4 linked regions of the Arabidopsis thaliana genome follow. The protein of the gene in region 4 interacts with the protein of the main gene of each other region in a pairwise test. Each region holds a gene or a part of one and is shown on either strand. Other genes may lie near its edges.

The links.
Region 1: the proteins of AT3G22260 (region 4) and AT1G17970 interact in a two-hybrid assay, tested with the Arabidopsis thaliana proteins (one large-scale study listed by BioGRID).
Region 2: the proteins of AT3G22260 (region 4) and AT5G49000 interact in a two-hybrid assay, tested with the Arabidopsis thaliana proteins (one large-scale study listed by BioGRID).
Region 3: the proteins of AT3G22260 (region 4) and AT4G25920 interact in a two-hybrid assay, tested with the Arabidopsis thaliana proteins (one large-scale study listed by BioGRID).

What each region holds. Positions count from the first base shown.
Region 1 is NC_003070.9:6,182,712-6,188,930, reverse strand, and holds AT1G17970 (RING/U-box superfamily protein), read right to left. Parts: upstream 4,215-6,219; 5' UTR 3,900-4,214; coding exon 3,327-3,899; intron 2,761-3,326; coding exon 2,596-2,760; coding exon of another isoform or gene 2,524-2,595; exon of another isoform or gene 2,272-2,523; coding exon 2,173-2,271; intron 2,088-2,172; coding exon 1,953-2,087; intron 1,864-1,952; coding exon 1,729-1,863; 3' UTR 1,458-1,728; downstream 1-1,457. Other genes in the region: PAPS1 (poly(A) polymerase 1), read left to right, coding at 53-898, 984-1,051, 1,150-1,189; AT1G17960 (Threonyl-tRNA synthetase), read left to right, coding at 5,194-5,324, 5,436-5,736, 5,886-5,958, 6,015-6,109.
Region 2 is NC_003076.8:19,862,410-19,867,202, reverse strand, and holds AT5G49000 (Galactose oxidase/kelch repeat superfamily protein), read right to left. Parts: upstream 2,794-4,793; 5' UTR 2,677-2,793; coding exon 1,558-2,676; 3' UTR 1,378-1,557; downstream 1-1,377. Other genes in the region: SLD5 (DNA replication protein-like protein), read right to left, coding at 2-84, 213-335, 572-739; AT5G48990 (Galactose oxidase/kelch repeat superfamily protein), read right to left, coding at 3,745-4,793.
Region 3 is NC_003075.7:13,163,108-13,168,124, reverse strand, and holds AT4G25920 (hypothetical protein (DUF295)), read right to left. Parts: upstream 2,651-5,017; coding exon 2,594-2,650; intron 2,512-2,593; coding exon 1,757-2,511; intron 1,645-1,756; coding exon 1,284-1,644; 3' UTR 1,253-1,283; downstream 1-1,252. Other genes in the region: NFU3 (NFU domain protein 3), read right to left, coding at 3,031-3,222, 3,319-3,617, 3,693-3,810, 3,896-3,997; AT4G25900 (Galactose mutarotase-like superfamily protein), read right to left, coding at 4,728-4,897, 5,007-5,017.
Region 4 is NC_003074.8:7,868,326-7,874,744, reverse strand, and holds AT3G22260 (Cysteine proteinases superfamily protein), read right to left. Parts: upstream 3,910-6,419; 5' UTR 3,611-3,909; exon of another isoform or gene 3,285-3,610; 5' UTR 3,257-3,284; coding exon 3,047-3,256; intron 2,925-3,046; coding exon 2,851-2,924; intron 2,694-2,850; coding exon 2,639-2,693; intron 2,544-2,638; coding exon 2,469-2,543; intron 2,139-2,468; coding exon 2,065-2,138; intron 1,974-2,064; coding exon 1,925-1,973; intron 1,733-1,924; coding exon 1,648-1,732; intron 1,565-1,647; coding exon 1,508-1,564; intron 1,411-1,507; coding exon 1,352-1,410; 3' UTR 1,148-1,351; downstream 1-1,147. Other genes in the region: AT3G22270 (Topoisomerase II-associated protein PAT1), read right to left, coding at 211-265; AT3G22250 (UDP-Glycosyltransferase superfamily protein), read right to left, coding at 4,692-4,955, 5,084-5,739. UniProt on the Arabidopsis thaliana protein: Hydrolase that can remove conjugated ubiquitin from proteins in vitro and may therefore play an important regulatory role at the level of protein turnover by preventing degradation. Inactive cysteine protease.

The sequences.
Region 1 (6,219 bases), on a different chromosome or scaffold from region 4:
TTGATTTTGCTTTGCTAATGATTTGTCTTGGATGTTTGCATTGTAATCTTAGATCGAGAGACATTTTAAAATGCTTCATTGCCACCCTCATCCCCATGATTTTCAAGACACATCCCGGCCACTCCATTGCTCTTACTTCATGGGTCTGCAACGTAAACAAGGAGTTCCAGCAGCAGAAGGCGAGCAATTCGATATCAGAAGAACCGTTGAGGAGTTTAAACACACTGTCAACGCTTACACATTGTGGATTCCAGGGATGGAGATTAGTGTTGGCCATATAAAACGGAGAAGCTTACCTAATTTTGTGTTTCCTGGTGGAGTTAGACCTTCACATACCTCTAAAGGAACATGGGACAGCAATCGCCGTTCAGAGCACAGAAATTCTTCTACATCAAGTGCACCAGCTGCTACTACCACTACTACCGAAATGAGTTCTGAAAGTAAAGCTGGTTCTAACAGTCCAGTTGATGGGAAGAAGAGAAAATGGGGAGATAGTGAAACACTCACCGATCAGCCAAGGAACTCTAAACACATTGCTGTTTCAGTGCCTGTAGAGAATTGTGAAGGCGGGAGTCCAAATCCATCTGTTGGATCAATTTGTTCAAGTCCTATGAAAGATTATTGTACAAACGGTAAATCTGAGCCTATTAGTAAGGATCCACCAGAAAATGTTGTTGCTTTCAGTAAGGATCCACCAGAGAGTCTTCCGATAGAAAAGATAGCCACTCCTCAAGCTCATGAAACTGAGGAGCTTGAAGAAAGTTTTGATTTTGGAAACCAAGTGATTGAGCAGATATCTCATAAAGTTGCAGTCCTGTCTGCTACTGCAACTATACCTCCATTCGAAGCTACTTCAAATGGCTCTCCTTTCCCTTATGAAGCAGTGGAAGAACTTGAGGTTTCTTATTTTTCTTATCAATTTTCGATACATAAATTGTTCTCTTGATCTTATTCCTCCTGTCTGATTTCTCTTTTGTTGAAAGGTTCTTCCCACGCGACAGCCCGATGCGGCACATAGACCTTCAGTACAACAGCGAAAACCGATAATCAAGTAAGTGATTTTGTGTCTATGTTTACTCTTAACGTTTGAATATACATTTTTGGATTTTGACAAAGATTGTTTGTTTTTGTTTGTCTGATTATTCGCAGATTGAGCTTCACGTCTCTAGGCAAAACCAATGGCAAGTAATAATGGCTTTTCCCTACATTGCCAAGAATCTCAGAGCACTTACGGAAATTCGAGATGTTAAGTTGAGGGGTTCTTGTTACTTTATGTCTTATATTTATATGCTTTTCTTAGATGTTGCATGATCTCATGTAAAACTCGTTTGGATAAGATTAATGTAATGTGTTCTTGTCTATGGATCCCAAACACTTTTTCTGTCATAAATAAAAGTCTGGGTTGAGTTTACTTCACATATATATATAAATGCAGACTCAAACGTTAAAACATTGATTCTTAGTTACGTGCGTGTATGCTATATGCTAAATTACTCTCTACCTGTCTTAAATCTACCTAGGCAACAGAAAACATAGATTTCAAACTCTTGATTTCAATCACATAAATAGACCCAACAAAGAATATAAGATCTTAAAAAAAAAAAATTGTGATTGCTAAATGCAAAAACAACAAATATGAATCAAGTATCAGATGATACAGATCTCTATACAGCAAGGTGGCTTGAAAGATCTTGAGCTATCAGAAACCCGACGAGATACAAAAGTCTTTTAAGGCTTGCCATATGCTGCCTTCTTACAGACCGGACAAGCATTCTTCCTCGAAAGCCATTGTTTCACGCAATGGACATGAAAGCTGTGTCCACAGTTCAATTCCCCAACCTCATCCTCTCTCTCATACTCATCCTGTCACCATCAAACAATAAGGAATAGCATTATGAAACTCATGATCTGTCTGAAGTTTCGAGAAGCCATTGACTCAATCTGGAGTTTACCTGACAGATGCTACATTTTCTATCAACAAGAGTATGTGATACGGATGGTTTGATTTTCCCAAGACAACGATGTATCTCGCTTTCTTTTAGTCCAGTATTCACATAACCAATTCTATCACCAAGCTCAAGAAGTTGCTGCGTAGACCAAAGCAAACACACTCGATAAAGTTGAGAAGATGAGATTGCAAGTGTTTTTCTCATGAGATTTTGAAAAACATACCTCGTATGACATGCTATCAACATCGAGCCTCAATTCGTGGTAGTTATCACGGGAATCTGTTATTCTTCCCATTACAAAACCATTCTGGAGCATCCTCATCTGCAGTGAACAGCAGGAACATGACTACACTAGCTGCATGGTTTAGTTCTTTAACTTGCTCACTTGCTATTAGCCATCCAAAACAGTTTTACAGCACCATACAGCACCAAAGAGAACGATTACATTATTTGTCTTCCACTCTATCAGTCACTAGAATATGTAAGAGACAACTCTAGAATAATCTCTTAGTTGATATGAAGCCAAGTGACAAGTCAAACCTTAACATAGTGTTGAGTGTGATCAGTTAATAAACTAAGAAGTCAAATCTATAACATTTACCAGATGCAAGAAAGACAAGGCAACTATTTGGCAAGAACATTCTACCTCGGTAAGATCATCAGGGTAAGAGCGTGGAAGATGGCCACGACATCTACTTGACAACATCGTTGGTTCAGCGCGTGATGATGTCACAAAAGTAGAATCAGAGTTGAAGATATCATGAGAATGAGTTTCTTGATTGAGAAACCGAATGGGAAGAACAGAAGAACCCTGCAGAACATTTGTAGCATTGTGTTATCATTTCTCAAACACTTAGACATGATGATAGATTCCTAATTTTCAAGTCCTCTGAAGCAATGCGTTTCTTTGATCAAAATAAATCCAACAACTCCCCTAACCAATTGAATCCAACCAAAAAGAAACTTAAACAATGCTAAGATTCCATCCTCTAGCTAAACGAGACAAAAGCATGATAAGATTCCATTCTCTAACCAAACCAGAGTTCGATTAGTTTATTGAGCATCAAACCCAAAAGAACCACCCGCACGTCAAACAAAGAAATTTTCTATATTATCCTCACATGAAACAAAAACTAATAATAGAGAACCGCTACATCTAAAGTAGACCCTTATGATTTGTCTAAACGAGAATCCAAACACATATATTAATAAACCAAACCAAACTAACAATGGCCCAGCAATTGGCATAGAGCTAACTACAACCACTAGAGCTCCAACCACTCCACACAGTTTCTGCCTAAACGATACCATTTCCTCAAAGTCAAAGTCAATAACATAATAACACTAAATTCATCATCCAACTTTAGATCAATTTACCAGTGTGTGATTATAATTGTTGTTATCCACATCAATTTTGCGACGAGACGACGGAATATTCCTTCCCCGAGGAGGATCAACCGATCGACCAATTACAGCATCCGTGGAGAAGCCTAATCCAGGTCTGCACCAAACATCAATAACGTCTCTAGCTTCTTCGCTTAAAATCCTAATCGAACCATCTTCGTAGCTTCCTTTATTCTTCTTTTTCTTTTTCTTATGCTTATGCTTCTTCTTCTTCTTATCTTTTCTAATTCTGGCATCCAAATCCGCGGAGTAGCGAATGACGGAGGGAACAGAAACCTCTTGAGCTGCTGCTGCTGCTGCGGCATAGCAACCCATCCCTCGAAACGACGACGTTTGGTACGGTTTCTTCCTCGTGCTTTCGTTGGAGGAGGAAGTCGGGAGGGGAAAGAAGGAAGACATTGCGGAGTTACAGAAGCGATTAGGTTGTGAAATCGGAAGAACGACGTGGCTTAGCGGCGGATCATCGTCGGCGGCGTGGAGATGACGGATTGTTTGGTTTCTAGCTCGTCGGAGTCTGATGTGCTCGCCGATTGTTGTAGAAGACATTCTCAAAGAAAGAAAGTAAAGGAGATAATGGAAATGTGGGAGAGAGAGAGCGAGACACAGTGCGCGGGGAAGGATGAAAGAGAGTGATTTCAAGCTTGATGATGATGATGATACAGTTTTTGTATAATGATTATAGCTTTTCCTATATAATACTATTAAAGATTTTTTAGTTTTTGTTTTTACATGCAACCATTAGTATGAGATTCCAAACAAAATCAGCTCATGCATATCTTTTGTGAATACTACCAAATTAGAAATAATGATTTTATAAGAGATATTGTTTAGGTTAATTTGAGTATTTCTCTGGGTTTTTAACTTTTTTTGGGCAATTTAGTTTAATGATTTTGCTTATTTTTGGTTTTTCTATTCCAGAAAAGTAAATTTTAAAATTTTTAAAATGATGCTTGCTTGTAAAAATAGGAAAGGTGTCAGTCACTACATGACTCTTTTAAGTCGAAACAATCTTGTTAAATAAATAAAAAGAGAGAGAGTGATTAGATATTATTTTGGTAGAGATAAAGAAGAGACACAAAGTCCAGCTGAAACATCCTACGATAAGCTTAAACATCAAAAGACCACTTCTTTGGTTGGTTTTAATATTTGAACAATCCTCGTATACATAAAGTTGGCACTCTTGAGCTTTGAAGACATCCAGCAAAGCCTTGATGGTTGATGCTCATCGCCACGAAGCCTGAACCGTTTTCCTTTCCAATATTACATTATTGTCTACCAGACCCGGTTCAACCAAATCGAACCCGACTACATTTTTGTAACACGAAACCATCCGAGAACGTTGCAAAACTGATTCTAGCTTCATCATTAATAGGCTTTTAAGAGCCCAAAACTACAAATAATAAGCCCACTTCAAACTGATTTTATAGCTTCCACATTAATAGGCCTAATAATGGTCATTTGGATATTATTGAGAATGCAACAAATATAAATGTGAAACATTAAATCAAAGAAAGTCACGCCAAAATAGGTTATATACATATACTTTTAATTTGCATTTTATCAACAAAACTACAATTCAATTGAAAAGAAATTATAAATATTGTAGAAAATTATTTAAATACAAAAGGAAATTATGTAAAGTTAGGTGCATCTGCCACTTGTTGTTATTACCTTATTACAAAAAATGAAAGGAAAAGCTCTAAAGCTTGGCCCGCAAGTCACTTTAGTGTTGTAGCTATAAAAGGGAAGTTGACCTTGGGATAATCTACTCCTCTGCTCTCAACGTCATCTTCTATATTCTATAGTTTCTATTTGTCCTTCGTTCTCTGCTCATCCATCGATGGCGAATAATCATCATCCCAAGGATGAGGCTTATCTCTCATCCGTCATCCCCAAGCGTATCAGGCTCTTCGAGGAAATCCAAGCCGAGCAGCTTGAGCAGCTTCAATCTCGGCCACACGATCCAATCAAGTAAATACGTTTATGATTAATTGTTCATCATTTTCACTAGGGTGCATCAATTTGTTTGCTAAGCTAGGGTTTTGCAATTAGTTGATTTCTGGTTTTTGTTTCACTGCTTAGGATTACTCTTCTCCCCGACGGTATCGAGAAAGAAGGAAGGAGATGGGAGACCTCTCCAATGGACATCGCAGTGCAGATTTCTAAGGGTTTAGCAAAATCTGCTCTGGTTTCTTCGGTTAATCATGTCTTGTGGGACATGAATAGGCCCCTGGAAGGTGATTGTTCCTTAGAGATTTTCGGATTTGACAGCGACCAAGGCCGTAATACTTTCTGGCATTCTAGCGCCCACATTCTAGGCCAGGCTCTCGAGCAGGAGTATGGATGCAAGCTATGTATTGGACCCTGCGAACCCAGAGATGAAGTAAGAGCTTTGTTCTGTGTTTTTTCCCCTTAATTATGTTTCTTTGGCTAAAAGAGTAAAAAAAGGAGGAGTCAATATTGTTTGGTTCTTGGTATTTCATCTGTAATGTTGCAAAGACGGGCTATCTCTGATGGTAATTGTTATTGCAGGGCTTCTATTACGATTCACTTTATTATGGCGAGCTGGGATTAAACGACAATCATTTTCCAAACATCGAAGCAAGTGTTGCATATATATCTTTTGCTGACATCTTTTTTGTTTTGCGGTATGGAATGTAGAATTACCCATTAGAATGGCCGAATTTGGAGTGTTACACCGAAATGAGGACAGTGGAGCACTTGGTGGAATGACCCGTGTCCGACGGTTTGTACAGGTATGTTTGCATCTTTCTGGACTTTTCTTGTGGTAAAATGTTTAAAACTTAAAAATTGATTGCTTTATATAAAGACTAGCGACATTCAAAATGATATCATGATTAGTTAA
Region 2 (4,793 bases), on a different chromosome or scaffold from region 4:
CCTGGTAGCAAACACTTTCTCTTGCTCAGAAAGTCGCCTTTCAGCTTCTTCTGAGTTGAGGTTGTGGAACATAAACTTCTCTATCTGCAGCAATCAAAAGAACACCATTGGAGATGACATAAAAGCAAAGTCAATTAAGCAACATTGACACTTGGAATCAACGTTGATAAACTCGCAAAACTAATATGAAAGTCTTGGAAAAAAAAAAAAACCTTGAGAAGCCTAACTCTGAGATATGATCTGAGTAGAAACTGGGCTCTGTCCAAATCCATCTGATATAGAGACACCACCAGAGGATCTATGCCATTTTCCACATAATCTTCAATTGTTTCTTCCTGTTTATTTACAAACATTTCAAAAACTGATAATTTCCAAATGCAACCACTAGAAAGTGACAAGACAATGAACAACTCTAACTAAGTTTAATGTGGCATTCGATTTCACACAAAAACGAATACTATTCTAACAATTGGAAAGTCTAATTTGGATCATAGACCAAAAGATTTCTGATTTAGTGGTTAATTTCTGGGAAAAAATCCAACAGAATAATTTAGGGTTTTAGACATTTTACCACTAATTCGATCTGTTCTTTGGCTCTATCGACAAGAGCTCCTTCGTACTGAAGAATCTCCGGCGCCGCCTTCTCGTTACGCCACGCCCTCTTCAATAGCTCAACGTCCGATGTCGACATCAATGTTTCGTAATCCGCCGATCCTCCCGCTTCCGAATTCGACGCCATTAGATCAATGTACTAACGAATCTCTCTCTTTCTCTCCCCGCTTGAAAGACTCGGATCAGATCAATTTGCTCGAGCGGGAAATAAAAACATGTAACTGCGGGTTTGGCGCCAAATAAAAGGTCGAAGAAGAAGGATTTAGGGTTAATTAATTTATATTGAGCCTTTAGCAAATGTGTGGTTGAGAAATCGGTTTAGTTAATTTATATTATATAATATGAAACTCAGATCATTGTGTCCAATTTTGTTGTATTCAGGAAGTATCTATATAAAGGTATTGGCACTTGGCTTGATGTTACTACATGATGATAAGAGTCTAAAAGCCTTAGCTTAGCGCACATAATTGCAACTTAAATCTTCTGATTTGTTATAGTTGTCAATTAACCTCAAAATCAACTTAATCAACAAGCAAGTGACTGCAAATGTTTATAAGCAAAAACAATGTCAATTTCTTCGGCTTTTCCTCTTTGTTCTTTTTTAAATTCTTGCTCTTACTCTCATCGCAAATGTACATTCTTTCTAAGACCGAGAAGGCAAAAAAGATTCTCACTTCCCTGTCCCATCAAGTTGTTGTTTCAACCGGTGAAGGTGTAATAACTAACTACTAGTTCAGTGATTTCTAGACAACAAAAGACGCTATAACTGAATAATCTTTGTTTGATCTTGACAAGAAAACAAAAATGAAGAAGGAAATGAAGCCAGTTGCATTTTGAAATAATATGGTAAGAAGAATCCCATCATTAAGTTATTACAACATAGAAAGCAATTATCTGTAAGCTAGCTAGACAATCAAATGTGTGTGCCTCGTATGGCAATCATCATCAAAGAGTAGCAGCAAGAGCACCCACAAAGTTATAAGAGCTAGGTACCGTAAGCATATCATCAAACCACTCAACCTTTCCCCTAATACCCTGATTCTTGCATCTCTCAAGGGAAACCACCGCACACGAAATCGAATGACTCTTATTCCCACTACAAGGGATATACTTGTCCCACAAAAGAGCCATCTTTCCACCATAATCCGCTAACTTAACACAGCTACTAGCAAGCTTAGACAATCCCTTCAAACCCCTCAACTTCCTCCACGATCTTTTCTCTGATTCATACCATTTGATTCCACCAGGACGATAACAATACAGTACATTATCTATCACGCAATAAGAATGAAAAAACAATCCCAAATCCATACTCTGATGTTCTCCTACACCTCCCCATCTATCTTCTTTAGGCTTGTAAGTCACAACCTTATCCCCAAAAATGTAGATTTCTCCTTCAATCACCAAGCTCCTATATATAAATCTCTCCGCTAAAGGGCTTAACACAAACTCCCAAGTTTGAGTCTTTATATCGAAAACCTCCATCCATTTAGATGAATCAAACTCTTCCAAGCCTCCTGCTACATAAATCTTCCCATCAACAACATTAGCAGCTGGATAATTCCGCTTCATCCTCATGCTTGGTGCCTCGTGCCATGTATGAGACCTGCAGTCTAAAATTGAGACTTTAGAAGAGGGTGCATTCTCAATGGATCCACCAATGGCATAGATGTTAGACCCAATAGCAACGATACTCGAACTATGTGAATGGTGATTTGGGATTGGGGCTAAAACAAACCCGCTTGAGTTCTTTGTCTTCTCGGTGATGTTTTGGTTAGGTTTTCGGTAGAGTGTAAACCAACGTGGGTTAGGGTCAGGAGGGAAATCTAAGCATACATAGAGACAACTCTCCGTTCGGTTGAAGAAAGATCGAGTCTTGTATAGCTCCGGCGAAGTAACGAGGGTTCGAGAGCTCTTGGAGACTAACGAGAGAATTGGGTAGTACAATCTAGAGACTCGGGCTAAGATGCTCACAATCAAATCATCGGGAAGTGACGGGTTTGGGGTCGATTCCGGTGACGGTTCAAGCGACCGTTTCTTCCTCTTCCTCTCTGGAGACGACATTGGCGAGATTAGTCGATTTCTTCTGCTTCTACTCCGACTTGCAGATTTTCATTGAATCTTAGTGGGCCTTTAGAAATTATCTAAATAATTTGCATTGAATCTTAATGGGCCTTATAGAATTATCTAATTCATTTGTATTGAATCTTAATGAGCCTTAAAACAATAGTTTTGAGTCACCACAAATTTCTACAACACAACTCAAAATTACCAGTAGAGGACCAAAAATTCGTCAAATATATATATTTTGTTACACTTATTTCTTCCTATGAAGCTAGTAATCACGTATGTTCAACAACAAAAAAAAAGTCTTTCAAATGCATCATAGTGGTCAATGGCACAAAATAAGTTAACCCTTCAAAATTTCAACAAAATTCAAAAATGACAGTAGAGCTTTGGACATATGATCAATTTAATTTTCTGTGCATAATGGAATCTAACTTGAATTGAATCATAAAAAATAGAGAGTATATAATTGGATAATAATAGTGTTCGATTGAGAAGAAAAGAAAGAGTGGCTTGACAAGTCCACCCGTATTTTCACACAAGATCCTCAAATTGTTACAGTAGCAATTTCTTTGTAGGTTAGGTTGGCTACAAGTACAAGACATGAACATAAGCCTCAGTTTAAACAACAAAACAAGCACTAACTGTGTATCTTGTTCTAGCTCTTATCGTGAAATGTAAAGATAACAGTACTTTTCTATGCAAGACAAACAAAAGTATTCTCATAGACAAAGTAAGCTTAAACAGTCTACAAGTGAGTGCATATGTTTAGAAGTGAAACAATATCCGCTAAAAGCATGAGAGAAGCATTCATCATAGTCACATAAATATAGGCATTTTGCAACACAACATTCAGAGCAAAAAACAGTAGGAGAAAGAGTTTGGCATCAAAGGAATTATCAAAGAGACAGTCACAAAATAAGCTTAATCATCTACAAGCAAGTGAGTGCAGGTGTTTGTAAGGCGAAAACAATGACAACTGCATTCCGAAAAAGATACAAGACATTCTTTCAACTGTGACATACTAAATAAAAGAAGCTTCGTACCTATGTCCTGAGTCATCAATCAAACAGTAGCAGATTTAGCACAGACGAATTTATAAGACTTAGGGACTGTAAGAACCGCATCAAACCACTCGACCTTCCCCCAAATCTCTTCACTGTTGCGCTTTTCAAGCGAAATCTCTGCACACCAAATCATCTTCTCCTTATACCCACTTGCAGCTACATACTTGTCCCACAAAACAACCAGCTTCCCGCCATATTCCGCTAATTTAACAGTACTATATCTAGCAAACTTAGGTAGCCCTTCTAAACCCTCTAATCTGCTCCAGTCTCCTTCCGCAGTGTTACAATTCATCCATCTAAACTTCCCACTAGGGTCATAACAATAGGCTATGTTCCCTATCATACAAAAAGAACCCCTATCCAAATTCGTACCCAATCCTACCGCTTCCCATGTCAAAACCTTTGGGTTTAGAGCCACAGCCTTCCTATGATTCTCTTGACAAGGGGGTATGTAAATCTTTCCTTCCATATTTCCGAATTTGAGTTTTCGTTTTTGGGGAGGCACGGGATTCCAAGTCTGAGTATTTGTGTTGTACACTTCAACACAGTTCAAAGAATCTGGCTTTTCAGAGCTTCCTGGGAAATACGTCCTCCCATTAAAGTCACTATTGATGTGAGCCAGTCGCAATCTTGGAGAATCAAGCCAAGTGTGCGTTCGACAGTCAAGGTACCAAACGTTAGAGCATGGAGAATCTTTGATGTCTGCGGTAATGGCGTACAGATAAGAACCAACAGCGACTAGACTTGACCATTCCACAGTTGGAGAATTGAGAATTGGAATTGGAGCCAAAAGATGAACACTTGAATCCTCTTTCTTCTTCTTCTTCTTAGTTAGGGTTTGATTAGGCTTCCGGTAGAGAATCAACCAACGAGGATTAGCTTCATCAGGGAAGCGTAGGCAGACATAGAGAAAAGTCTCGGGTTTGCCTAAGAGGGTTCGGGTTTTGTAAAGCTCCGGTGAAGTAAGGATTGATCGGAAGGTTTTTGAGACTACGGAGAGATTTGTGTAATACGATCTCGAGACGCGGGCTAAGATGCTCACTATCA
Region 3 (5,017 bases), on a different chromosome or scaffold from region 4:
TCGAAAACCCTAAACTATGTTTGTGACTGGTCTTCAATCTTCAGAGTAATAAAGAGAGATGGCCTTGGGCACCAAGTTCACAATTAATAGAAGAATCTTTTTGGAGATGGACTCTTTTTCTAAGGAAATAAACAATAACCCATTTCATTTATAATGGAATGACTAATTATATATCGTCTTTAAGACTCTTAACAAAGAGAAGTTGTCTAGAAAAAAAAAAAAAAAAAAACACCACACAAATTTCCATTGAAAGTAGAGTAGAAAGGGTTTATATAGTAGCATAGAAAGAAAAGAAAAAAAACACCATAAATACTAATGAAAAAATATTTTAAATTTTATGAGTAGAGAGAAACTGGAGGTGGCCAGTAAGGGAATTCCAAGTTCCTTAATGGAACATCCTCTTCTGTGTAGAAAGTAGTGCAAGGTTTGGTGGTGAGATCATAAATACCAAAGTTATAGCCCACAAAATAGATGCAGTTAGGCTTGAGCCCGAACTGGCCTGGATACAGAAAGCCTCACTATGTCCAAGAAAGATGCAAAGATCTCCAATATCTTCTGTGTAATACACATACTTTTCCTCCCATGATTCCTCCGCTCTAAACACCATAAACTGTGATGCCATGTGCACGAGTGTTTCCACTTTGTTGTGATTGCGCATTAAGTTGTGGCCGTACCTAAAAACAAATGCATGGAAGAACAAATAAGATAACATGTTTCACCTCTCTTCTTGTGTTTGGTGAGGAGCCATTAAATCAAATTAAAATGTTGAGTAATTAACCTAATAGTTTGTATAATTGTTTATTCAAAAGCAATGTCTATAGTATATATACCACTTGACGAGGAATTGTTCACCGGAGGGTGACTCCACATAGTGATCCACCACAAAATAATGTAACAACACTCAAAATATGTGTTGTGATTTTGATTTGACGTGCGACTCTTTCGTCTTCCCCGTCTCTGTCTAGTGAATACCGAGGGTACTACACCTTAGGACATTAAATATACATATTTAGAGGATAACTTGTTTCAGGAAATAAATAATTATATAAGTTTTGTGCCAAAGTGTGTCTTACGTATATTAATTGAGAAATATGATGAATTAACCGAATTCGTTTAGATTCGCCTTCTTTTTTTTTTGGTAGGATAGATTCGCCTTCTTTTAAGGCACTAATATAAATTTCATTGAACATAGATTAAAAGAGAACATTGGATTTAAATGAAATCATGGGAAAGCAAAGACAGCGATAACATTAGCGAAACATAAACACGTGCAAGAGAGATAATTAATTAGGAGCTAGTACTGGAAAGGAAGCCGGAGGAGGCCAGTAAGGGAATTCCAATTTCCTTAATGGATTATCATCTTTTGTGAGGAACATAGTGCAAGTTTTGGTGGTGAGATCATAAACACCAAAGTTATAGCCCACAAAATAGATGCAGTTAGGCTTGAGGCCAGGGGACGAGCTAGCCGGGACGCAGAAAGCCTCACTATGTCCAACAAAAATGCAAAGATCTCCAATGTCTTCTGTATAGATCATCTTCTTAGTGTAGACACAACTCGGTTTCTCTCCCTCTTTAAACACCATGAACTTTTTTGTTACATTATACAGTGTGGTGTTGTCAATGTCCTCTAAATCCTCTCCATACCTGCAAAGACATGATAAAGCGCGCCAATATGATACTCAAGCAAAGGATTAGAGATTTTGGTATATATGTTATGAAGACAAAAGCTATATATAGCTTTAATTAGATAGTATACCACTTGACTAGGAAAAGTTGGCCGGTGGGTGACTCCACAAGGTGGTCTGTCCTAGAACATGTACTCACGTCGGCCAACTCTTGAAACACCGATTTTGGAAGATCGTCAAACTCCAATTCCACGAAATCAATTAGGTCGTCGTCCTCTGAGTGAGGATCCAAATAGCACAAGATGTTGCCTCCGGGAGTTGGAACGTAGAACTTTTTCTCTTTCTTGGAAAACATGATGCTCGATGAAGGGTTTATATTCTGAGGCTTGGTTTGGATGTTGATCCATTTACGGCTGCCAAAAGGCCTGCACATACTCAACTGAGATCCCAATAACTTGACAACAACTACCCAATTTTTGTCTCGTTTAGGTAAAGAGGACATGACCAGGCTTTGGATTTGTGAACCCGTCGGTAGAGGAGGTAGATCAACGGTCAAGTCTTCTATTTCGGGGTCAGTAGGCTTGTAAAAGATGGTGGGAGAACATACATCGCCGTGGTTGCCACAAAGCTCGACTCGCAACCCATCACGAGAAAACCCGACAGTCATCGCATCACAGACCTCCTCCTTAAGATCCTTGTCCTTAATCAAGACTTCCTTTTCATTACCGTAAACGTTTGTTGTTACGCGACCATCGGAGGAAGAGTTTGGGTTGTTTAGGATGTAGTCAATCAACAGAAACGGGAAGGCTGGTTTAGACGAGAAGGGCTGATTCACTTTAGTACTCGTGTGAGTTGCAGATGAGAACAGACGAACGTTTGCGTGTCTCTGCCATAGTTATGTTCAAGTATTCAGAGACAACAAGAACAAAATTAAAGTTAAAAAGAAAAAGCAAGAGAAGCTTACGTACGAGGAAATTTTTGCAGACAGAGGGTTTGAATATTCGGTTGATTATAAGCTTTGACATTGTTGAAACTCTTAACTATGTTATGTCTGTGTTTCCTCATATCTTCTTATGTCCGACTTATTATAGAGATTCTAGTATCCTTGCTCACCAAGAACTCGCTATAAATGCATATTTAATTAGAGAATAATTGGTTTAAGGAAATAACTCTTTAAGTTCGATTATCTTTGTGTAGTCAAGTCATGAATATTTTATAACTGTTACCTAAAAACAAGGATCACTAGAGAAAATGTCCTTCATACATAGGATACTTTTTTTTTCTTTTCCTTTTTCTTCAACAGAAATGGTTATTGTATTAGTTGTACTAATTATATAATTGGAAATAAAATATATTGAATCAAAAATAGGCCTTGTATATAAGTTACAAAATAAAAAGGTTAATGTCACTCTAGAAGCTGGACTGCACCTATAGAAGGAATTGTTTCCCTCAGTTTTTGAGTCAACGCGACACGAACAGTCATGACTCCAGCAGCTGGTCCAGTGAGTCGAACCTTGACCACGTAACCATCAATCTCAACTAACTCAAGCCCCCCACCTCCAGTACCGGATAGGTACGGCCTTAACTCAGAGAGAACCTAAATTGACAACAAACCAAAAAAGGACCATTCAGATCAATTTCAAAACCAAGGGGCTAATAAACCAAAAATAACTAAACCTTTAAAAAACCAAACCTTCTCAATGTTCTCATCGTTCAGCTCTAAACCTCCTGTCTCGGATTCAAGAAACTGCTCAACGGACATGATCTCTGGAATCTTGTCTCGAAGACGACTCTCGATTCCCATCTTCAACGTCATTGATGAGCTAGGACACGAACCACAAGCTCCTTGTAGCTTTAAAACCACCACAAGTCCGTCGATTTCGTGCAACGCCACGTTTCCTCCGTCGGCCATTAGAGATGGTCGTACTTCGTCTAACACTCTCTCCACATTCTCTTCCGTTAACGGCATGACGCAGCTCACGTGACCAAATACTAAACCAAACATAACAAGAATCTAAATCACAACTAAAGTTCTAAAGAGATTGGTCTGGTTTGCAAATCAAGTACCTGTTCGTTTTCTCAAAGGTCGAGTGTGTTGTAGCCAAGAAAAATGTATTCTTTGAAATTGACCCCTGAGGAATGTACTGCATTTGGAAGAGACCCCTAAAGTATCTGAAATTGCGTTCTAAACACAAGCGAAAGAGGAGAAGAAGAAATCAAGCAAAAGGAGTCATTTTTTTGGTGAAGCTCGACGAAGTGATAACAATTACCTTAGAATTGAGAAGCGACGAGCGGAAATTAGGGTTCTTCTCTGCTGTTGAGAGCGAGAGGTTCATCGTTGTAATTCGGGTTTGACCCGAAACAGAACCCATTTGGAACCTCACTTTTCTGCTTCACGATCGAGAGAGTTTCCAGAAATTGTGAAGATTTGGGGAATTCGGGTGGATCAAGTTTCTTTTTTTTTTTTCCCAGGAGATTCTGTAGCGAGAACAGAGTAAGAGTGGGAAAAAAAAAGAGAGAACTTTTCATTGGTGGATTGATGATGATATTGATACGTCTTGGAGATGATTTAATTTTGTGGCTAAGATTTTTTACTTTATTAATCAATACGACAGAACAGACTCCCAAAAGAAATATAAAATTAAAAAAAAATTGATTGTTCGACATGGGCTTCGCCTCTTATAAAGCCCAGCCCAAATATAGATAGACCCAAAAACGAGAATTGGATTCGGCACATCTAAGCAAGCCCATCCCAAATAGTATCATCAAGGGTAGAAGAAGAAATCTTCGGCTAATCTAATTTTTTTGTTTAGACTGATGATTTAAGAACATGAATTTTGCAAATAACCAATATCCAATTATTGTAGTTAACGCACTTTTATTTAATTACATTTAACAATTATTGTAATTAACGCACTTTTTTTATTCATGAATGCTAAAGTTACAAAACAATAAAACTGGTCAAGAGTCCAGTTTGGAACCCAACTAACTTTGTGTTCACCATGTGATGTCTCTCGGGAACATTAAGTATACTTTAATAAAGACAGTTTTAAGTTTTTTTTTTTAAAGGATGAGGATGATGAATGCAAGACTTTTATAGGGTCAAGCTTTCCGATTTGATGGAACCACAGAAACATGGAGTATTCCTTTCCATTCTTTGCCGGGGTTCACTGTGATCGGTTTCGCGACAGCCGCGCTTTCCACCGTTACAAAACGCTTATAGTCTTCAACTCCCAAATCGGATACTTTCTTATCCCATGGATTCCACACCACTGCACATTGTAATTACAAGTGATCCATCATTAGTACTACTAAAACAATCTGTTTCTGTGTGACTGTGTCTATGTCTATGTATGTTTACAAATCTAAATTTGTAATTACCGGCATCAACT
Region 4 (6,419 bases):
CAACATCGAAAACTAAGCAAACCCATCAGATCCCATTAGAACATTAAAGATGCTATATAGCTCAGTGACCTAAATCATACATAGCATAAATCTCCAACATTTATGTGCTTAAACAAACCAAGCAATACACAAAACCGAATCCAAAATCAGCTATAAGCAGCAAAATCATAAAAGAGAAAGAAAGAAACATCCTTTAAGAAGAAGACTGACCTAAGGAAGAAGCGCGAACAAAGTTATACAAATCCCTTGAATCAGATCTCTCCATGATCGAAATAAACGAAACTTTAGAGGTAAGAGAAGATAACAGAAGAGGACATAAGAGAGAATCCTCTTCCCCTAGGGTTTCAGATAGGTGGTGCTTTGTGAAGGAGATAGAACAACAAAATTCGAGGTGGGTAAGTGAAATCAGCAGAGATTGCTGCTAGGGTTTTCGAATTGATAAAACAAAGAAACGCAAGTAAAGTTGAAGAAGGAGAAATCTATAAAACTCTCTCCGCGATAAAAAAGAGAGAGAGAAGGGCAATGAAGAGAAGGGGAAGGGAAGAAGAAAGCAATGGCCTTTATTTGTTCTTGTTCTGTTTCCTTGGCCGTGTGTAACATCGACACATGACCTGACCTTTTGCCCAAACCCAAATAAAAATCCAAACTTTTTTTTTTGATTTTTTTTCCTATTTTGTTAGTATGATAATAAAATTAGTCTTAAATCATTAATTGGTTCAAAAAACTTTAAGTGTAACATATTTACTACAATTAATTATAAGCAAATTAAAATTAATTTATGTAAATTTTGTTCTGAAAATATAGTTTTTGATTTTTTCATACTAAATCCACTGCCTAAATGATATGCATCATATGCTTATATGAGTCAAAGAAAAAAGTGTGATGCTTTATGTCCGATCCCATCCCACTGATTCTTTTATGATCTTGAGGTTTAAGACCCATTACTTTACTTGTTCCAAACTCAACCAAAATCAATTTTAAAAATATTGAAAAGACATAGACTTTATTTATATATAACTCAACGACACGTTTACTTGGTCCATGTGATTGCATTTCATCCCGGTCGGTTCAAATTGATCTCATTATGGTCCATTTTTTGAAAGTATCACAACCAATATTTTGATGATGATAGTTTTATTTTCGTTATGATTCATCATTTCCATGTAAAAACTTAGGGATAAAAAGTCAATATACATGATTATAAATGTATTTAAAATAATATATCTATGTTTACTCTTTTCTTTTACAATGATAAAGCATACAACAAAGTAAGGTTATCTCAAAGTTGCACAAATAAATCTGAGGAAAGTGGTATACATTATACAAATGGAGATGAACTTTAAATCCAATACTAGAAGAGCCAATGCTTCCTTCTCGGTTTTCTTGTTGGAACATCTGGAAGAGCAAGAACTACTCAGATTGAGATTCAGAAAGCCATGGAGATAATTAGTGATGATAATAATTTACTTTAAAAGCAGAGTTGAGTGCAGGAAACTGAGTTTTTTACCTCCATTAGCGTATAAAGAATTGTAATGCACTTCGCTCCAGAAGCTGAGCCAAGCCTCTGCAGTACAACAAAAGGATTCAAGACGGTTAGGAACGAGTAAACTTGGCCTAGAGCATAAAGGTAGAAAGAGGGCTTTGTACCTCTAAGAGGGTTCTTGTTATGAGGAAGAATCTCGATGTAGGATTGATCCCGAAAGGATGTGACTAAGCAGATCTTGGCTTCGAACTGCAGTAATGCTGAGTCAGCCAGTCATTCAAGTAAAAAAAGTAACGAAATGTGAGCGAATAAAGGTAAAATTTGTTGATGAGTCTTCAAGATGCAGTTGCTCAAAGAAGATCTGATCTTTAAGGTATGTTTGTAAAACTTTTGTAGTCTATTATAGTAAACTCAAAGGATGGTATCTCTTTGAAAACTTACTCTATCCGCTGCAGCTTGAAGAGTAACATGATCTCCCCATTCACCATGTCTAGTCGCGTCCAAAATGTATCAGCAAAAGAATGAATCGGAGAATAATTTATCACTCGTTGACACTATCAAAAAAAATAAAAATGTCTCACTTTTTCATCTTCCTGGTGTAGTGTCTGTATTTCATTGGCACATATTCTTCGTATAACTTCCGTTGTTGTTTTAACTGAAAAATGCAAATGCTAAGTCAGAATAATTGCAGTAAACTATAAAGTAGTATGTGGCCAAAACTAAGGAAATAGGTGTTTTGATGGGAACTTCAGGAAGTGAGCTAACTGCTAAAGCCGAGAAAAAAAGTTTCAGAGATTGAAAGCCAGTCAACAGAGACAGGAAAGACAGCTTGAAGGGTGTTGCTGAGGAATTTTCAGAAGAAGCACGAGTTTATGAAAGAGAGCCAGTATATATGATTAAACACATTCATCCCTGAAGGCGCTGACTAAAGAATCGGACATTTGTGAACAAGAAAATGAGATGCGTTATGGTTCTCAGGCAGTACCTGCTTTACAACATGCTTCCTTACATGTTTATGGTAATCTGCATTGCGGAAAAGCTGGTCTGCTAAAGCTCGAAACTGGCAAACAAGTATAACAATATGACAAAGCAAATCAATACAAAGTCTTTTGAAGAGTCCACACAAGGTCTATATGGATGTTCCTTTCAACGTACCTGGCAATTTCCATCTCCCTCCATTTGCAATTCCGCTAAACCATATGTGGCCAACCTGAACAAAAAAGAGAGACCATTAAAGATGTTTCTAGATTGAAAACAACTAGCTATTCTATCGACAATGAACAATCTAATCAGCATCAAATGAAGAATGCAGTCAAGGAAATGAAAGACGATGACACTAAAGGAAACGTTGATAAGAAGATGAGAACCTCCCAGAGAGCAGCTCATGGTCTAATGTTGCATCATTTATATCAGGTATCTCCCTGTTAACCCGAGGAGTGTGCTGCCAATAAAAAATTCCACAAGATATTCAAAGAACTTGTCACCAATAGACACTAACAACAACAATGAATAGCACAGATCCAAGCCTAAATGTGAAGATTAAGCAAAAGAAGCTTATCATACTGGGATAGAATCCAAATGAGATAATCTCTTCCCAAGCTTGCCTTCTCTTCTCAAGCTCTCATCTTCAGCTAATATACGTGCAATGGTCTGATCATCATCTGTATCCGCCACACTGCTACTAAAACTCGAGTTTGAGCTCGCACTTGTACTGCCGCTTGCTCTAGCACTTGTACTTGCATTTGCAAATGGATTCCTATGGTTTTCATCCATTGTATTTGGATCCTATACTAAATACAACCTAGGAAGCAAGACAGAGACTACCTCTGATCAGTTTAAAACGAAAACCATAATCTTGAGAAACTAGTATCAATCCAATACCATTAAGCAACCAAATCCAAAAGGTATATCAACCTAAAATGTTGTAATCTGTAACAAAAGAAGACAACTTTCGATTCAATCACACAAAACTACAGAAACCCAGATCAAAGATCACACTGAATAAACCCAAATTCAAAAGAAACCCAAAACAATCTCAAATTCTTGAAACGTTACCCACTACTGGAAACGTAATTCTCTGAGATTCAAAATCCTAAAGTTGAGCAAACAAAAAGTTGAGATAATTACCAACAAAATCTGGTTGCTTGACTTGGCAAGCTCAATTTTTCGAAATCGATCAGCTAAAGCAAGAGGGGGAGAGAAATCGTTGAAGAAAAGAAAGAGGCACCTAAGAGACAGATAGAGAGAGACGTCAGCTACGGAAGAAGCTAAAGAAGGTTTCCTTTTTCCGATGCGATTGATTTACTACTGCAGACAAATAAAAATGGATACTTTCGTTTCGTCGGTCTCAGAGATGTTTTCTTCTTCGTCAGATTTCCTCAAGACTTCTTTTTTTTCTTCTTCTTCTTTGGCGGGTCAAAGAAAACGTCACCGTTGCGTGTCGTTTTAATTATTTTTTCCGCGTTTTCTAATTAATTTCAGTAATCCTTTTTTATTTGTTTGTCAGAAAAATATTATTGCTTTAATTATTAGTGTATTTTATTTTTTTCTGCAAAAGAAACGACCTTAAAAATAATGCATAAAGTGAGTAACAAAAATTTTAAAATAATAAAGGATGCTGAAAAAAATAAAAAATAAAAATAATACATAAATAAAATAGAAAGAAAACAATTATAAAACTATAGTTAATTATCTAATAAAGTTAGTTACTAATATGATATTTTCTTGTTTGATGTAAAAAAAAATCAATGATGCATTAAATAAACTAGAGAATCTATATACTACAATCTATTTATGATTATATAAAGGCGTATGAGGAAAACGTTGTCCAATATAATGTCGCTATTTTTTCTCTTAATTTTGTCAACTACTTTTAATTCTTTCAACTTTAAGATGATTGACATGCGTGCACCATATAAGACCAGATCAACTTAACTAATCTTATTGAATATGATGGCTGAATACTGATGGCTCTCCAAAGAAATTTGTCTCCATTTAAAATAAATAAATTGGTCACTAGAGTCAAATATATTCGTTAATATGGTTAAAATGCTTTCATACCAAATGTTTAACCAAATAAAAACTACAATCGTTGAATCAAAACATCATTGATTCAAGTTGTTCGAAAACACTATACATTTTCAAGTGCTTATTTTGAAGTTAAAACAATGAAAATATAAATATTATGACATCGACACTCTTCGCTCGTCTAATTAAGCTCGTTTTTTAAAAATGTAAAATTCATTTCCGAACTCAAACGAGCTTCATTCCCCATTGCTCTGTCTCTTAACTTCCTCAATCTCTCACCCATATCTTGATCCTCCATTACTTTCCTTAGTCCATCTTCAACCTCCTTCTCTCCAAACCCGCTCAATCTCACTCCAATCTTCCAAACGTCCACGATGTATTTACAGTTAACAAACTGGTCTCCGGCCACCGGATAACATAGTAGCCTCCGGGAACTTGCCACTGCCTATTATTGTACAAGCAATAAATCAAAATTTAATACACATATTGTATAAAGTTAATTTATATAGTAGATACCATAATCATATAATACATGCTAGATTTTACTAGTGTATATCAATATGTTACATGTACCTCCATAGTCGAGTTCCAGCCACAATGAGTCACGTAACATCCCACAGAATCGTTTCTAAGAACTTCAAGTTGCGGAGCCCATGAGACGATCCTTCCTTGGTTTTTGGTAATTGTGACTCTATGCACAAAACCTGGTGGTAGTCCCTCTTGCCACACTCGGTTTAACGCCCAAAGGAAAGGTCTCCCTGACGCTTCCAACGCCAATGCCAACGTTTGAATATTTGATTCTCCTATAGGAGAAACCCAACTTCCAAATGAGATATAAATGACTGAGTTCGGGTTTTGTTCTTGAAGCCAACCTAGACAAGACATGTCTTCTTCCCAAAAACTAGTCTTGGTTATAGTTATATTATTTGTTGCTTCTTGGTTATGCAATGGACCTAAATGAAGGATTTGAGGGTTTTGACCATTGTTTTCTTTGTTTAAATCGTTAGATTTTTTGTAGGATGCTTTGTGGTTGTCGACATCTTCATATTCATCTTTAAAGGAGCTTGTCAAGATCCAACGGAGACTTTTTGTTCGTTCTAGAGTTCTTTGCCAGAACTTGAATCGTTTTTTCTGAGCTTTGGGAGTTCCGATCAGCCACGGTAGATCTTCTGCGGATAGGAGCGGTTGCTCTGGCTGGACTATTGTTTTTTCTAGTTGACGAGGACAACCTGCACATCAATGTTACAACTAACTGTAATTAATATGAAATAATGTAGTAACCATAAAAATATGACCAAAAAAAAAAATATTACAACAAAGGGAGGATAAAATAACGAAAGACATGCAAAAAATATGTTTTCAAACTTAATTAGATTTGGAAAATTGCTTCATCAAATTAATATCAGATTAGTGTGGGTTTTTCTTGTTCATATGGTTAGATTCATGGTTCCCACTTCCAACTAAAAGTTTGACTTAACAGTTTTCATGTTGTATATATGACCAAAACTATGATATATATGTGGATATCATTGAGTGATCCAATAATAAAACTCCTTTCTAATTTGAGTCATGACTTAAAACTTCGTAAGACTTGCATTTTCATTCTTTATCACCGTATCCAATGATTGCATATTTTTTAGGTAATCATATAATCCGGCAATTATCAACTACAAATGTTCTGTTTAAAAACCTATGTCGACCGACTAATTAAAAGACCTATATATATTGAACCGCAACATGAGGGGACAACCAATTACCATGATATATATTCATTTTTTTTATAATATAATGGATCTACTGATTACCATGACTATATATATACGCACATGCAATTTCATAACTCTCCATTTTTACGTCTATTATAATTTACTTTAAAGCTTCCGCTAAGTTATAATCACAATAACATATT